Linked DNA regions of Oryctolagus cuniculus. The protein of the gene in region 2 interacts with the protein of the main gene of each other region in a biochemical or structural test. Links are inferred from orthologs where the notes say so. Each region holds a gene or a part of one and is shown on either strand. Other genes may lie near its edges.

The links. The genes of interacting proteins can lie anywhere in the genome.
Region 1: the proteins of SYTL4 (region 2) and RAB8A form a complex in vitro, tested with the Homo sapiens proteins (2 studies listed by BioGRID). The link is inferred for Oryctolagus cuniculus from reciprocal best matches to the Homo sapiens genes SYTL4 and RAB8A.

What each region holds. Positions count from the first base shown.
Region 1 is NC_091447.1:64,694,960-64,702,966, forward strand, and holds the start of RAB8A (ras-related protein Rab-8A), read left to right. Parts: upstream 1-2,958; 5' UTR 2,959-3,006; coding exon 3,007-3,130; intron 3,131-6,515; coding exon 6,516-6,576; intron 6,577-8,007. UniProt on the Homo sapiens protein: The small GTPases Rab are key regulators of intracellular membrane trafficking, from the formation of transport vesicles to their fusion with membranes.
Region 2 is NC_091453.1:92,032,724-92,039,960, reverse strand, and holds part of SYTL4 (synaptotagmin-like protein 4), read right to left. Parts: intron 3,980-7,237; coding exon 3,871-3,979; intron 2,036-3,870; coding exon 1,936-2,035; intron 1,182-1,935; coding exon 973-1,181; intron 1-972. UniProt on the Homo sapiens protein: Modulates exocytosis of dense-core granules and secretion of hormones in the pancreas and the pituitary. Interacts with vesicles containing negatively charged phospholipids in a Ca(2+)-independent manner.

The sequences.
Region 1 (8,007 bases), on a different chromosome or scaffold from region 2:
TTTGTTATCCGCAATCCTGTCTGAGCAGGGCTGTGAAGAATGAGTAGGATTTTAATAGATGGTGAAGACAGGCGAGATGGGCTCACTGTTTGACTTAGGAAAGTGCAAGGCCTGCCCGGACAAGGTTTTCTATGTGTTGTACCCTAGGTAGAAAAGCTGGACGGTTGGCTGGATCCAAAATTGATAAGAGCTAGAATTTAACTTACTGAGGAGTAGAGACCCAAACTGAAGTAAACACATCAAGACATTAGGAAAATGCACTTAGCACCTATTTTCAGGTGGTGGCCTGTACAGACAGGAAGGTGTCAGGAAGATGTTTCAGTACACAGAGTGGTTGCCATGCAGTAAGAGGGAAGAAGTGATCAGAAGGAAGCAATCTTAAAATGTAGCCGACTTGATGGCAGGGATCTGAGAGATGAGAGTGTCAAAGCTGACTAGTTTCACTACCTGAATTGCTTTGATAATCTGGATAAAAGATCCAATCCAGAAAGGGAGGCAGAAAAATCAAAAAGAGGTATGAAAACCTTTTTAAAAATTAATGTGATATGGAAACAAGCTTTTTGCGCTCAAGTACAATTAAAACATGTCCTTCATGTTAATTAAGCAGTAGTTGACAGCTTAGGTGGAAGGTGGGAGCAATGTCGATGGCAGTGTAACTCCCTCCAGTGTGAGCCCTACCATTTCTAGATTGAAGTTCCTCTTTTACTTCTCTCTTCCCCCTCCTCTGCACCCACTTTGGGTGTAGTCTAGTCTCTGGATACTGTTTTAGTCATCCTTGTACCTCAGCACTTAACATGAATGTTCCATGTTTGTTAAACTGACTTGTCCCAGCTCTTGGGGAGTTCCCAGTCCCATAAAGTGTGTGTGGAACACAGGGTGAGAATAGGACAAGGTAGTGAGAGGTATCATACTCAAAAGTATAGATTTTGGACTTTATCTTTATTGAGATCAATATTAGTTAAGTGAGTTAGAGTGAGCACACTGCAGGGTGGAATCTAGGCTAGGGAAAATGGCCAGGGAGACCAGTGGCAACCTGACTGTGGCAGTGGAAGAGCAAGACTCTTGAAAAATCAGGATGTGAGAGATGAGTCAAAAGGTAACTCCAGGTAAGTGAATGTGAGATGAGATTAATTGTGGACATAGTGAGTGTGAAGTTATCTTTGGCAAATCCAAAGGTAGATGTCAAGAAACTAGTTGGACATGGAGGGATGGTGAGCTATGGCTTAAGAAATGAGACTCGTCAGTGTGGAGGTATTAGAAGCCACCGGACTGAATGAGATCACCCAGAAATTGAGACCAGAGACAGAACCACGAGGAACATAAACATCTAAGGCACAAATAGAAATCTTCCAAAGAAGCAGCACCCAGAAATGGGGAAGCAGACACAATAGAAATAAAATCAGGGAGAGAACCAAGAAAAAATCACTTCCACAGTTAGTGGTTGAGTTGTCAAATACCTCAGAGGCTGAGGCTTATGAAGTGGTCAGTGGCTCTGACTGAAGTTTTCTTAACCCTGAGTGAGGTCAGCGAAAAGAATGAGCCTAGGAAGGGTGGAGGAGAGGCCAGGGCCATCTTCCAGAGAGCCTTAGGCAAGCCTCCAGGCCTCTCTGATGCCCTCAGTGTGACCTACAAGAGACTGGACCATCGCTGAGAGGCACAAACCCCAGTGGTTCCAACTTTGGTTCTCTGATGCTTGGTGGTTTGAATTCAAAAACTAACTTCCCACTTGAGAGCCTGGGAAAGTCAACCTCCTGTGGGCCTGTTTTCCCACCATAAGAAAAAAAAATACAAAACTATCATAAAACTTTTTTTAAAAAAAGATTTATTTATTTGAAAGGGAGAGTTACAGAAAGGGAGAGATATCTTCCATCCGCGGATAGCTCTGGTTAGGTCAAGCCAAAGCCGGGAGCTTGGCTCCTCCCACGTGGGTGGCAGGGGCCCAAGCACCTGGGCCATCTTTGGCCGCCCTCCGGGGCACATGAGCAGGGAAGTGGCTCAGAAGTGGAGCAGCCCCAAACTTTTTTTTTTTTAAGTGTTGGTTACCACCGCCAGGCACAGACGCAACGCTCCTTAACGTGACCTAGAATTGCCGCCGCCCTGAGTCCCCGGGCGGGTGACTTGACCGCCTCAGACAGCCGGCTGGGTGTGAGGCTGACGAGGCTGGGGGGATGGACACTAGAAGCTGAAGGTGGCCGGGACAGCCTCTAATTAGGTCCGAGGGCGGGTCTCGCTTGAGGCGTCCCAATTTCTCCTCAGGGCGCAGCTGGCGGCGGGAAAGCCGCTCAGGTCGCCGAGGCCTGGATATTTCTCTTGGCCGAGAGCCCGCAGCCCGTCTCGAGGGGTTGCATTTCTGTCTCGATGAGCTCCCGGCTCTCTCTGTTTCCTCTTTGGCTCCCACTGACGGGCAGGACGCGGAAAACTCCACTTGGCGTTGCCTGGCTACCCAGCCTTCCCGCGCTCGCCTTGGCGCCTACTGCGGCTGCGCGAGCCGTCAGGGCGGGCCCCAGGGGCTCCTCCACGTGCGTGCGCCCTCTGCCGGCGACCAACGATCTTTCAAGTGCGCGTGCGCCTATCCACCAGGCCCCGCCCCTGGGCTGCCGGCGCGCGAAGCCGTTGGCCCCGCTCCCGACTCGCCCCTTCCCCTCAGAGGGCGGGGCGGGGCCTCCCCAGAGCCCGAGGCGGGGGGGGGAGGCGGGGACATGGGATGCCACACCCCCGCCCCGGTCCCTGTTTGAAGCCCCTCTACTCTTCATCGCTGGCCAATCCCAGCCCGCCCTGTCCCGAGCGCCGACCAATGGGAGGCGCGCTCGAGCTGCTTCCGGCTCCGCGCTCCGCTCGCCCCTTCCTCAGGTCTCCCCGCGACGGGCGGGGCTCGGGGGCGGGCGTCGGCCGCGGTGACGCGCGGCGGGCCGGGAGCCAATGAGGGGCGGGCTCGGAGCTGATGGACGGGTCCAGCGGCCAGTGGCGAGGCGCTGGCCGCACTTCCCGTCGAGGAGAGAGTGTAATATGGCGAAGACCTACGATTACCTGTTCAAGCTGCTGCTGATCGGGGACTCGGGGGTGGGGAAGACCTGTGTCCTGTTCCGCTTCTCCGAGGACGCCTTCAACTCCACTTTCATCTCCACCATAGGTAGCGGGGCTGGGGAGCGGCCGGGGGCGCCGGAGGCCCGGGCCGGGCGCGCCCCTGAGGGGCTGGGGCTGAGGCATCGACCCTGGCCGAGGGGCAGCGGGCTCTCAGGGGGTCTGAAGGGAGCCGAGCAGCTGGCTCCGCCGCGCTTCGCGGGTTCCCGGGCCGTGGTGGTGCTGGGGACCAGTGCCTGTTTGGCGAGTGGGTAGACTGAGGCTCCCGCCTCTCAGCCCGCTCCGTCGGGAGTGTCGGTCCGGGGCTGGGGTTTTGGCGCCCATCCTCTCGTGCCGTCCTCGCAGCCCCTTGCCAAGCCAAGTTCATCTGTGGGCGTTGTGGGAGGGGTCGGTCGTACAGAAGTGGATGCTGGGGCACTTGCGCTCTGCCAGCTGCGTGATCGCGCCCTCCTGGGGCTGCAAGTTAAGGTGTTTGTCACGAACCCATTTCGCGGATGCGGGATTTGAGGCTCAGGGTGGCCGGGGGACTTGTCCAAGGTCACACAACCTGCAGAATAAATGGCACGGATGAGACTTGAACCTCGATGCGTCTTGACAGCCCAGAGGAGCCACTTGGGAGCAACACTCCGACCCCCACCTCTCTCTCCTGCTTTTTCCCCTGGGACTGGACTTTAAGGACTGAGCCTCCTCCCTGGCCCTGGAATCGTGAGGGAGAGTGAGGAGCATTTACCCTGCCCCGCCCTCTATCCCACTCAAGGGTGACAGCCCCAGTGAGTGACAGCTGCCCGCCCAGGGACCTGTCATCCCCTCCCCCAAGGAGATGCAAGATACAAGGCTCCGTGAGAAGCCACAGACAGCACCCCACTCCCTATCACAGGGCCCAGGACTCCGTGGTTGTCCCACTGAGGGAACAGCGCTTCCGGCTGGGCCACCCCACGTGGCGGCTGAGCGGAATCCACTTGTCTTTTTCTGTCGGCCCTGCTGACTTCTCATCACCGTGCCACAAAAGCCAGCCCCTGCCCACGATGACAAGGCTGGACCCGGGAGGCACAGCCGTCCCACAGTGGCCTGCGAGCTAGGTAGCCCTGTTCAGGAAGCAGAGGGGACAGTCACCCAGTCCAGGGGTTGACCCCAGACTGAGGAAACTTAGGGAATGGCTTCCCCCCACCCCACCCCACCCCACCACTGCCACCACCACCATGTCACTTGAGCCACATCTCATTATCACCCGGAACTCCACCATGCTGGAGGTCACCATGCCTGCTTTCCTGTTGCTCTTTGCCCTGGAACAAGCACTACCCCTCTCTGAGCCCCGTGTCTTCAGATTAGAACTCCATACAATGAATGAACGGCCGCCCGTGGCCCAGAGCGACAATCTGGGGGAGACCGATTGGTTCCTGGAGTCGCCTCGCGTGGCGGGAGGTGGCACGGGAGCCAGGGTCCTGTCCTGTCCTGCCACACCAGTCTTCTTCCTGTTACATTTGAAGCCGCCTTAACGGGGCTCTGGCTTCTAGGCTTTGCTCAACCATGACCTTGGAGTTAACGGGCCTCGTAAAGTGTGCGCTTGCTAATTGAACCTCGCGTGTTCCTAGAACCCAGGAGGAGTGCAGGACAGAGGGCTGCTCTAGGGCTCAGGCGACTGAGCAGTGCATCTTGAGTTTGTGCAGCCCAGTGACAGGAGGTGCAAAGGATCCGCGCCCGACTGCTTTATCCCTGAGACAGAACTCAGGCACAGAGCCCTTGGATATTGGTATCGAGTGCCCCTCTGGGTTTTCTTAATAGATCGGGGATTGAATGGCTGTTCATTTGCTTCCCTGGGGTTACGTCTTGCCAAGGCCCATTCTTAGGAGCTCCATCCATCATCTGTGGTGTGAACTTGGCCCTGCGGCTCCCTGCGATCCATTCTCTACCAGCCTGGCTCCGTCCCCGCCATCTCCTCGGGGACCCCGCTCCGTGCCTTCTGCGAGACGGATGATGTTTGTGCAAGTGCCTCCCTCACCACGCGCGGCCACCTACACCCTGTGGCTCTGTGGCATGCCAGCCGCCTTCCACGGACATCTGGGCATCAGCACTGGAGCCAGGGCTTCAGAGCCGGCTCGGGTGCATCAGGAGGGGAGGTAGCGACGGCACGAGGCTGGGCGTTTTGTCCCTGTGACAGCAGCAAGGAAGCTGCGTGCAGCCCATTGCCTTGGCAAAGTTGCTAATGGGCAGAGTTCGAGTGCACGCTTGGGTTTGCAGCCACGAACCTGGAGCTCCATCCGGGTCTCCCATGTGGGTGGCAGGGGCCCCAGGCACTTGAGCCGTCTTTGGCTGCTGCCTTCCCAGGCGCATCCACAGGGTGTTTGGATCGGAAGCGCGCAGTAGCTGGGCCTTGAACCGGCGCTCATCCGGGATGCCGGCACCAGCCCCTTTGTAACAGCTTCAGTGAGATAATGGGGTACCGTACGGTGTCACCCACCAACCAGGTACAATTCAGGGGTGCTTTTCTGCACTCACCACAATCCGTTTTGCATTTTGGTCATGCTGGAAGAAACCCCCACCCTCCTCCGCCAATCCCCAGTCTCCCACTCTCCCCAGCCCCCGGCAACCCCGAACACACGCCCGGTGTCTGTGGGCTTGCTGTTGTGGACATTTCTGTCACAAGGTAGAAGAGGTGTGGCCTGGTGCGTGCAGTTTCTCTCGCTCAGCATCATGGCTTCCAGGGTGCATCCCTGCTGCAGCGAGTGTGGGCACTTTGTTCCTTTTTGTGGCTGGGCAGTATTCCACTTTGGGTTGGTCCAGTCACCGGCCGGTGGACCCACAGAAAGGTCTGGAGCAGAGGTTTGCTTGGTGACCTGGTTAGGAGAGCACTGGGGTGCCGGCTCTGAGGGCCCCGCAAAGGCACCCTTGGCAAAGGAGAATGAAGCAGGAGGTGGGGAAGGAGGAGGAGGTAAGGTCAGGACAGTGTCTTGGGAAGTGACCCCGGGGGAGGAGAAATTAGCACAGCTGATGGGCAGAGAGGGACTGGCATGTGCAAAGGCCCTGGGGCAAGAAAGGACATGGCCTGGGTGCCTCGGGGTGTGTGATGGAGCACCGTGCAGGGCCGTGTGGGACAGGGAGACAGGCACGGCTGGCGGCATTGGCAAGGGAGGAGACCAAAGACGTTGGCAGCCTGAGCTCCTGGGTGTGCCCACCATCTGTCACTCTGGGCAGCTCCCGTCGGCTCTGAGAGCCTCAGGCGCCCCGTTCTGTGAAAGGGGAGAGTCTCCAGATGCTTCCAGACTTGCTGGGGAGGAGGCAGAGGGCACACATCCCCAACAGCAGGCAGGTGAACCCCCAAGCGGAGGCAGGTGACCGTTCCCCCAGAAACATAGGTTGGCTGACCCCGCCCCCAGACAGCACCCGGGACAATGGGCTGACCGTGATGGGTCTTCTTTTATTCTTTTCTATTTCAGGAATCGACTTTAAAATTAGGACCATAGAACTCGATGGCAAAAGAATTAAACTACAGATATGGTAAGTGGTGCCCTGGGGCAGCCTCTGAACCCGGCGAGCGCTTGGAGCCAGGAGCCCTTGGTGCCTGCCCCTCCCCACCCCCACACCCCGTGACCTTGGCCTTCATCTCTTGGTGCCCAGGGCTGCCTTCAGGCTGTCTTCAAAAACTCTCAAGTGCTCTCCCCATCAGGGACCTGTGCGCTGCTGCTGTGGCCCGGGGGACTGTGTCCACACCTGTTGGGGACATCACCCCAGGCCCGCTTAGCTCAACCTTCTGTGTTGTTTTTTGTTTTTTTGTGTTTTTTTTTTGAGATTAATTTGAGAGACAAGAGACAGACAGAACTCCCGTCTGTGGGTTCACTCCCCAGATGCCAGAGCTGAAGCTGGGAGCCAGGAACTCCATCCAAGGTCTCCCACATGGGTGGCAGGGACCCAGGCCATCATCTGCTACCTCACAGGGGCCCTGCATGAGCAGGGAGCTGGAGTCAGGAGCCAGAGCTGGGATTCCAAGCCAGGCCCAGCACTCTGATGCGGACAAAGTCCAGGTCTGTGCCCGGGTGCGGAGCCGCCCTGACTGCACCTTTCCTTTGGAGTCCATCAGCTCATACTAGAGTGTAAAGGTCTACTAGCACTTCCTCTTTTTTCTCCTGGGGAAGCCCAAGCCTCGTTTCCTGGCATGCAGACCTGAAACCCAGTCCCCCAACACACACACACACTCACTCACACACACACACACACACACATACCCTGAACTGAAATTCAGCTGAGGCCAAGCCCAGTTGGGGAGACCCACTTCCACCCCTCAGAGCTGAGGGTGACTTCCCTGCCCCATAGAATTAGGGAAGTCGTGAGTGGCCAAGTCCCCAGCACGGGCGCCGACCCTGGTCTGCAGCCCGTTGTACTAGGGAGACCAAATTCAGAGTGTGCTGTGCCATGGGTAGGACTCTGTGCTGAACAGCGGGTCCCATGTCAAGAGTACCCAGGTTCAGTTCCCGGCTCGGGTTCCTGCCCCGAGTTTCCTGTTATTGCAGACTCTGGGAGGCAACGGTGACAGCTTTGCTCACTGCGTTTCTGCTACCTACATAGGGACCTGAATTGAGTCTGTGGCTCCCAGCTTCAGCCCCGACCGCTGAGGGGCATTTGATGGGTGAATCAGTGGATGAGAGTGCTGGCTTGTTACAGGCTTGTTTATTTATTTGAAAGGCAGAGTTACAGAGAGAGAGAGAGAGAGTCTTCCATCTACTGGCTCACTCCCTTAAATGGCTGCAATGGTCAGGACTGGAGTAGCCCGAAGCCAGGAGTTCCATCCGAGTCTCCCACACAGGTGCAGGGGCCCAAGGACTTGGGCCATCTTCCACTGCTGTCCCAGGCCATAGCAGAGATCTGGATCAGAGGTGGAGCACCCGGGACTAGAACCAGCACCCATATAGGATGCCAGCATTGCAGGTGGCG
Region 2 (7,237 bases):
AAATATAACTCCGGGCACTGTGCGTTAATTGTGTGAGTTGTCAATATACAAGTGGTAGTTAAGGCCATGAGAATGCAGACTGTGGAGAGAGAAATAAAGAGGTCCAAGACCAAGCTCTGAGAGGGACCAAAACATTTAGAGTCTGAATAGAGAATGAGGAACCTATAGAGAAAACTGAGGAGTGAAGTAGTGACTTGAAATCAAAAAGCATAATGTCGTTAGAAGCTAAGTATTTCAAGAAAAGGGGAGTGGTGTGCAGGGTTCAACAGTGCTGCAAATTCCAGGAAGATGAAAATCATATTGTGGCATGACCAACTGCTCTGCAGAGTGGTGGCACAGAAGCCAGATCCCGATGGGTTGAGAACTAAAGGAGAGAGAAGAAAATAGAGGCCATTTGTTTTAAGAAGAGAGGGCAGCAGGGTAGTGAAGGGAGTTTTTTGTTGTGGTGGTGGTTGTTCAGTAAGAGTGGAAATACTAGGGCACACCTGTATTCACCTCTTCCAGAGAAGGAGGATGAAACGGATCACCCAGGACAGATGGAGATTACACAGGTGAGGTCAGTGGGCTGGGGTGGTGGGGTGGTCCAGATACTCGGAGAGAGCTTGGCCTTCACTAGCAAAGACTCGTCCCATTTTAACAAGACATGAGGTGGAAATTACAGGTACAGATACTAAGCAGGCTTGTAGAGTTACAGGTGGGAAGAGTATGGCATTCCTTGCAATCAAGGTCACATTTATCTATACACATAACAGTGTGTAAGTTCAGCCTTCCCCTCGGCCTGGCACATAGTAGGCACTCAGTAAGTGTTTGCTGGATGTTAACTGAAAAGAAAGAAGGTAACTGTTGTCATAGAGGAGTTTTGTGTGTGCAGGAGCACCGAGGGTGGGGGGGAGGAGGGGGGAAAGGGAGGTACTGGGATTGAAATAGGCAAGAGGCCTTTGAAACAAGTGAGGATGGGGGAGAGGCTCTCACCAGTGCCAACACCCAGTCTGACCCCTCCCAGGAAGTCATTGCTGGCCAGGGCTTCCCGGTCCCACACAGTCAGTTCCAGGCACATGTGTTGTAGATCTTCCAGCCTCACACCATTGTAGACAAATGTATGGTTGTAGTGGGGATTCAGGGTCTTCTTCACCACGGGAGTTTTACGCTTACTGGCCTTGGTCCTCATGGGCAGGAGGTATCTGGCAGAGGGTGGGGAGTAGTCAGCAGCCTACTCAAAGCCAGCAACATCTGTCTAAAGTCCCCTTTTTTTGACCACAGGCCTGGCCCAGCAAGGTACATCAACACCCAGAACCTAGTACACACAGCCCTCCTCTGAATCTGCTGAAGCAGACGTCCTACTACCTCCACTAGATCATGCACCTGATCCAATTCCTGTTACCTGGAGAGGAAATGAATATATTAGCGAAGTTGCTATCTGTGCTCCACCAAAACTAGGTTTTAAATATGTGGTCCCACTGCTACTTGGTAAGGTTCTCTTTAAATAAAACCAACGGCAGCATCTGTAGGCTCAGCCAAACAAGTGTTGGTAACGAATGTCCATCCTTGGGTGATCTATAATCTGGGGATAGCAAGCATTGCTTAAAAATCACAGGAAACAAAGCCCCGAGTTCCCAAATCCACACAGTCAGGGGCCATGGGTTTTCATCCAGGACTACTTCAGAGCAGGGGTGGGAGAACAGCCAGACTATATCTGAGTACCTTCCTACTCTTTGCATAGCAATGCTACAGCCCAGTCCAACCTGGGCTCAGACCAGTACACAAGTGGTGGTGGAGGTGTTACCATTATGGAATTTCAGGAACAAGGCAAACAAAGCTGGAGCTTGGGAGGACACATAAGGACAGCATCCACAGGGAAGGGTTAAATTGGGTTCCTCCCTTGGCTCTCACGTCCTGGAACTGGTTAGTTAGTTTGGCACTGGTCCAGGGACTCACCCCTTGACAAAGCTGTCTGAAGTCCCTCCTGATTTGGCAGCCGTCAGGTTCTTGGCTTCTTTGATCCACACCTGGAGCTCTCCCCCTTCCCCACCTTTACCTGTAAGGGACGTCAGCCATAGCAAGTGAGCTGCTACACTCTGGATTTGTCCTAAGCTCTAGCTATGCAGCACTCCCTTCTCTTGCTCTGTAACAACCTGAGGCAGACTTCACCTGTATCCTCAGTACCTAGCCCAGTACCTGACTGTAAGCCATAGGTGCTCAGTTAATCCCACTACAACAGCAATAAATAGTAACTGCAAATGGGAATGGGCTATGCGCCAGAGACTACCTTAAGCATTTCATTCTCAAAACAACCCTCCGAGATATACACTATTTTTGTCCTCATTTGATAGATGAAGAAACTGAGGCTTAGAGAAATAAAGTTCCTGATACTTGTTGAATGATTAAAAAGGGAACTCCTCCACTTGAGTTCTTGCTCCAGTCCTCACTTCACAGGACTCATCAGGTAGCACCAACTTCGACCCTCACCTCCCATTTGTAAGATTTGTTTCTCAGTCTACATATGTGCTAATCTCACTGGTTCTTTCAAAAAGAAAGAAAGAAAGAAAGGAAGGAAGGAAGGAAGGAAGGAAGGAAGGAAGGAAGGAAGGAAGAAAGAAAACATCCTTTGAAAAGAATATCTCCCTTCAAGCTTCTCTCTCCTTCAGGTTATTCTTGATGTGTCTGTCTCCTTTCGTTCACCATCAACTACCCTGAAAAAGAAATCCACACTCACTGGCTCTACTGCTTTGCCTGGTTCACTCAGTCTAGTTTCTAGTGAAATCTGGTTGCTGCCTCAACTAATGCACTGAAAATACAGTGCAATGCCAGTGAGGCGAGTCTGCTCAGTCCTCAGCTGGCCTGGCCCATGCCCTCCTTTGCCTTTTTTCCGAAGCTCTCCTGGCATTTCTCTCGCCTGGTGTCCCTCTCTTTCACTGCCACTTCTTTCCCTCTTTATCCTTCACTGTTGCTTTTCCCCATGGTTCTATCACTTCTCTAAATATTCAACACACCCTCCTTGGGGATTTCACTGATGCCCCAAATCTTCTCGATTAGACCTGGCTGAAGATCTGTTTTGGAAGAACTTTGCCTTCCCACGGCTGATGGATCAAGCTAAACTCCTTACCACTGTGGCCAGGCTCTATTCAGTTAAGCCCCTATTCCAGCCCCCTGCCACACATGTGTACCAACACTGCAGTCCACTGAAATAAGGGGTCACTCCCCCACCCTCACATATAACCTCACATTTCCCATGCCTGTTAAAACCTTGGCATGTGCAATCCTGTCTTCTGGAAATACTCCTCTCTCCACATCCTCTTCCTTTTTGCCTATTAAAGTCCTAGTGTCCAGTTTCAACATTACCTTCTCCTAGCGCTCCCAAATGTAACCAGACAGAATTCATGACTCCTGGACCTGTGTCCCTTTAGCACATGACTGTTTTGGTTTAATTCATTCCTCAAAGGAGGTCAAATATCACATCTTCCTCCCGTGCATCACCTACATATCCATAGTCACTAGCACAGTGCCTGGCATGCTGAATTATTCTCCCTCAGCCTTCGGTTTCCTACTCCTCAAACTTGATTTGACCACTCCTGCTAACTGCCCTTCGCAGCCCCAATGTTTCTGTTCTCTTCTGTCCTCATCATAGCCTGCCATAGATGGACTGAGACCATGTCAGGTTAATAGTATTTAGAAAAAAGGAATGTCAACCCTAAGGTGCTCCCTTTTGATTGAAAAGTACAGAAAAGGCTTCCTTAGTAACAGAGTCTTCCCTGACCCAGGGAGCATCCCAATCTGGGCTCTCTACCTGTGCAACCCAGAGCCAGCAGCAGCCTCGCACAGATCCTGTGCAGAAGACTAAGGGCTAAAGCCAGGGCCCCAGAGAAAACTCACTCTTTTTCCGGTCACCTCCAACAGGGAGTTTGGAGGCTGGGATGTATTTCAATGAAACCACCAACTCGCCTTTGTGTGATGGCAAGCCAGTCAGGGACTCAGCACTGACCTGAAACACAGGGAAACCCATCACGTCAAGCCAGGCTGCTCAGGCAGTTGGGATCATTCCCTGAGGGCGTCCTAAACAGTATCCCCCAAGAACAGCTTCTCAGCAAAAGAGGCTCCTAGCTCCTTATGAATACAACCCAGGGTCCTCAGGCCATGGCTGCCACAGGTTTTCAAGGCAGTCTCCAGGAGGAGCCTAGTAGTGGCAACAACCAAGAGCCTTCCGCAATCCCCACTACTATGGCACCGTGGGGACACAGTTAGTAGACTGCAAACACTCAAAGGTCTTCCAGCAAGCTTGCCACACAACTCACAAAGGATTGACACCATGACAAAGAATCTTGCTGCCAGGGTTGTTAGTAATAGCCAGAAAGTGGAAACAGCCTAAATATCAATCAATATAGGAAGTGATTTCAATATCTTCCTATGGCATGTGGCAGGCAGTCATCAATGAGAATGCAGGGAATCTGTCCATGCTGACATGGAAAGATGTCTAAGACATTCTGTTAAGCCAACAAAGCAATGTGCAGAGAAAATATCTCACGTTAAAATATATTCATATTTGTCTATGTGAATATATATATATGTAAATAGTAAGTGGTATCATGACCACTTCTATGCAGCACTTACTATGTGCCAAGTATTGTTTTAAGTACATTAAATACATTGTTTTGTTTAATCCTCAAGATACTCCTTATGAGACAGGTATTATTATCCCTGTCTTACAAGCTATGAAACAGAGGAACAGAGACATTAAGTAACTTTCCCAAGATCACACAATTAGTAACTGGAAGATACAGGATTCAAATGCAGGCAGAGTACATGCTTTTAGCCAGAGTATTACACTGCGTAGAAAACCCTAGAAGGATGCAAAGTTAACACTTGTTTCCACTAGGGAGGAGAAAAGACTAGGGATTAAAGGGCTTTCCCTTCTTCCTCTGTAATAACGGCAGCTACAGTGTCTTTTAAAATGAGAATGGCACATATCACTAGTGTTGTTTCTAAAGATAGAAAGTATGTTTGTTGAAACGGCTTGCAAAGATTTGAGGGCTAGATGGAACTCTTACAAGGATTTGAATATGGCACAATTCTCAATTTTACAGTTACTCACATTATGTTTGAGTAGTGTCTGTCTCTACCACCAGAATCTAAGTGCCAGGAGGATAAGAATCAAGTCTATTTTTGTTCATCCTAGTACGTTGAACACGTAGCAAAATATGAGCACACAGTAGACACTCCACAGATATTAACATAATGAGCATAAGAGTAGTTGAATCGGTATCTGGGATGAGCAGTGCGTGGCCCACCATCTTTTGCTTTGAGTGGTAGAATTGCTTCACTCTATTGGGTCTTTCTGGTTTGACTCTGTTCTTTATGATTTGGTATCCAGAGCTTGGGCTGGGGTAGACTAGAGGTGCCCGTTTACATGCCTGTGTTCACTAGGGTCCTGTAACCTTGGTCCTTACTCTGAACACACTGACATTAGACAGGCATAATCCCCATAGGTCTGGGTCAGGTAGCACATCCCCAGACAACACAAAGTTTAGTACAGGGGACAGACGCAGAAGAAGCAAGAGGTGGATGCTACTAAGTGAAAACCAAAGGGAGCAAATGGATTTCTAGAGACAAGTAAGAAAAACCAGAAAGAACAAATGTAGAATGCTTTCAGATAAAATATTTAATATGAGAGTAGAATTTTGTCATTTATGAAAGTCCATGCAATTTATTAATTTCTAGGTTATGAACTTCAGTAGATTTTTAAAAAAAATGGAGTTTAGCATTAGTTAGACACTGGCATATTTGTTTCAGCAACACATTTCAATTCTGGCTTAAAATTCTTTGCAAAGAATAAATACCCCATTTTAATGCAGATGCTTCTCTTTATGTAAGACATTTTAATTGGCAGTAGCTTGTGACATGTCCAGTACAATCATATCACGAGTAGACCCAAGAGGATGACTTCTATGTCAGATGCTTGAAAAATTCTAGGTTCTAATAATTGCTTTCCTGCTCTTATTAGTATTTAAAGGGGACAAATTTGCCATTGTCATTATTTTTGGAGGGCAACAGCTATCAAATTATGAGTTATGCGTTTCTTTTGACTCAGCAATTCCACCACCAGGAATCCCTCTGACAGTTATAGAAGCCCAAGATATACTAGAGCATGGTTTTAAGAGAAAGTAAACATGTGAACAATTAAATGCCCATTAGTGATGGAGTGGTAAGTAAGTTAGCATCCAGGGACATGGCAGAAGGCTATGAGAAAAGAAAATGATAGATCTGTAAGCAGTGGCCTAAGGATGCCCATGATAAATTGTAAAATTACCATAATCAAGAGAAACAACGAGGTTCACGTGAGCCCATTTGTGCAAAAGTGTGTTTGTGTGTGTGTGTGTGTGTGTGTATAATGTGTAGATGTATATCTGTGCTGCTTGATACAAGATTTCTAGAATGATATCCAACCAGCTGTTTACAATGGTTATTTCTGGGGAATGAAATCTACTTCCTCTTTTAAAAAACACTTTCTATTGGTTTAGTTCTGAACCACATGCATGTATGTCCTCTAATGCTTAATTTTCTTAACATTGCAAAAAGTTCAAACGTTCAAAAGGGGCATATAAAGCAGCCGAAAGCCCCCTTCTGTTTCAGTCTCCCTCCCTAGAGGCAGCCATCAATACTAATTTCTTTCATAACTTTCCAAAAATATTCTATGCATCATGGATTATCTTAAACATTTAAGATGCTAATATAAAACAATTTTAAAGAGGAACTTTGTCATTGCATAGTTCTGATGATCAAGAAGTTGCTGAGTCCTGTTTTAGCAATTTCAACTTAACCAGGATTGTTGAACGCTCCCTATGTGCCAGGCTCTGACTGGTACTTTGTATATAATCCTGAAAAAGAGGCACATTATTGTTTTATTGTTTGTCCATCTTTAAACAAGAAGCTGAGGCTCCTAGAGCTTTGGGTGACTTTCCTAAGCTACTTCATGAGTTAGGTGACTCACCTAGCGGACAAGGGCCAGAACCAGGATTCAGTGCAGGCCTGCACTCAGATGCCAGGCACGGTCATGCCGCACTGCTGCACTCTCACCTGAGATGCCATCTCCAGAGTAAATTTCTCTCGCCCGTGTAACGAGGAACACAGCAATGGAGTTTCATGAACTGCTTTACTTCCCACTTCCTCAGCAAGAAAGTTAGCTTGGAAAACAGGCACAGATTAGGATACACCCAGAGGGTTAACTTGGAAAAGAGATGCAAGT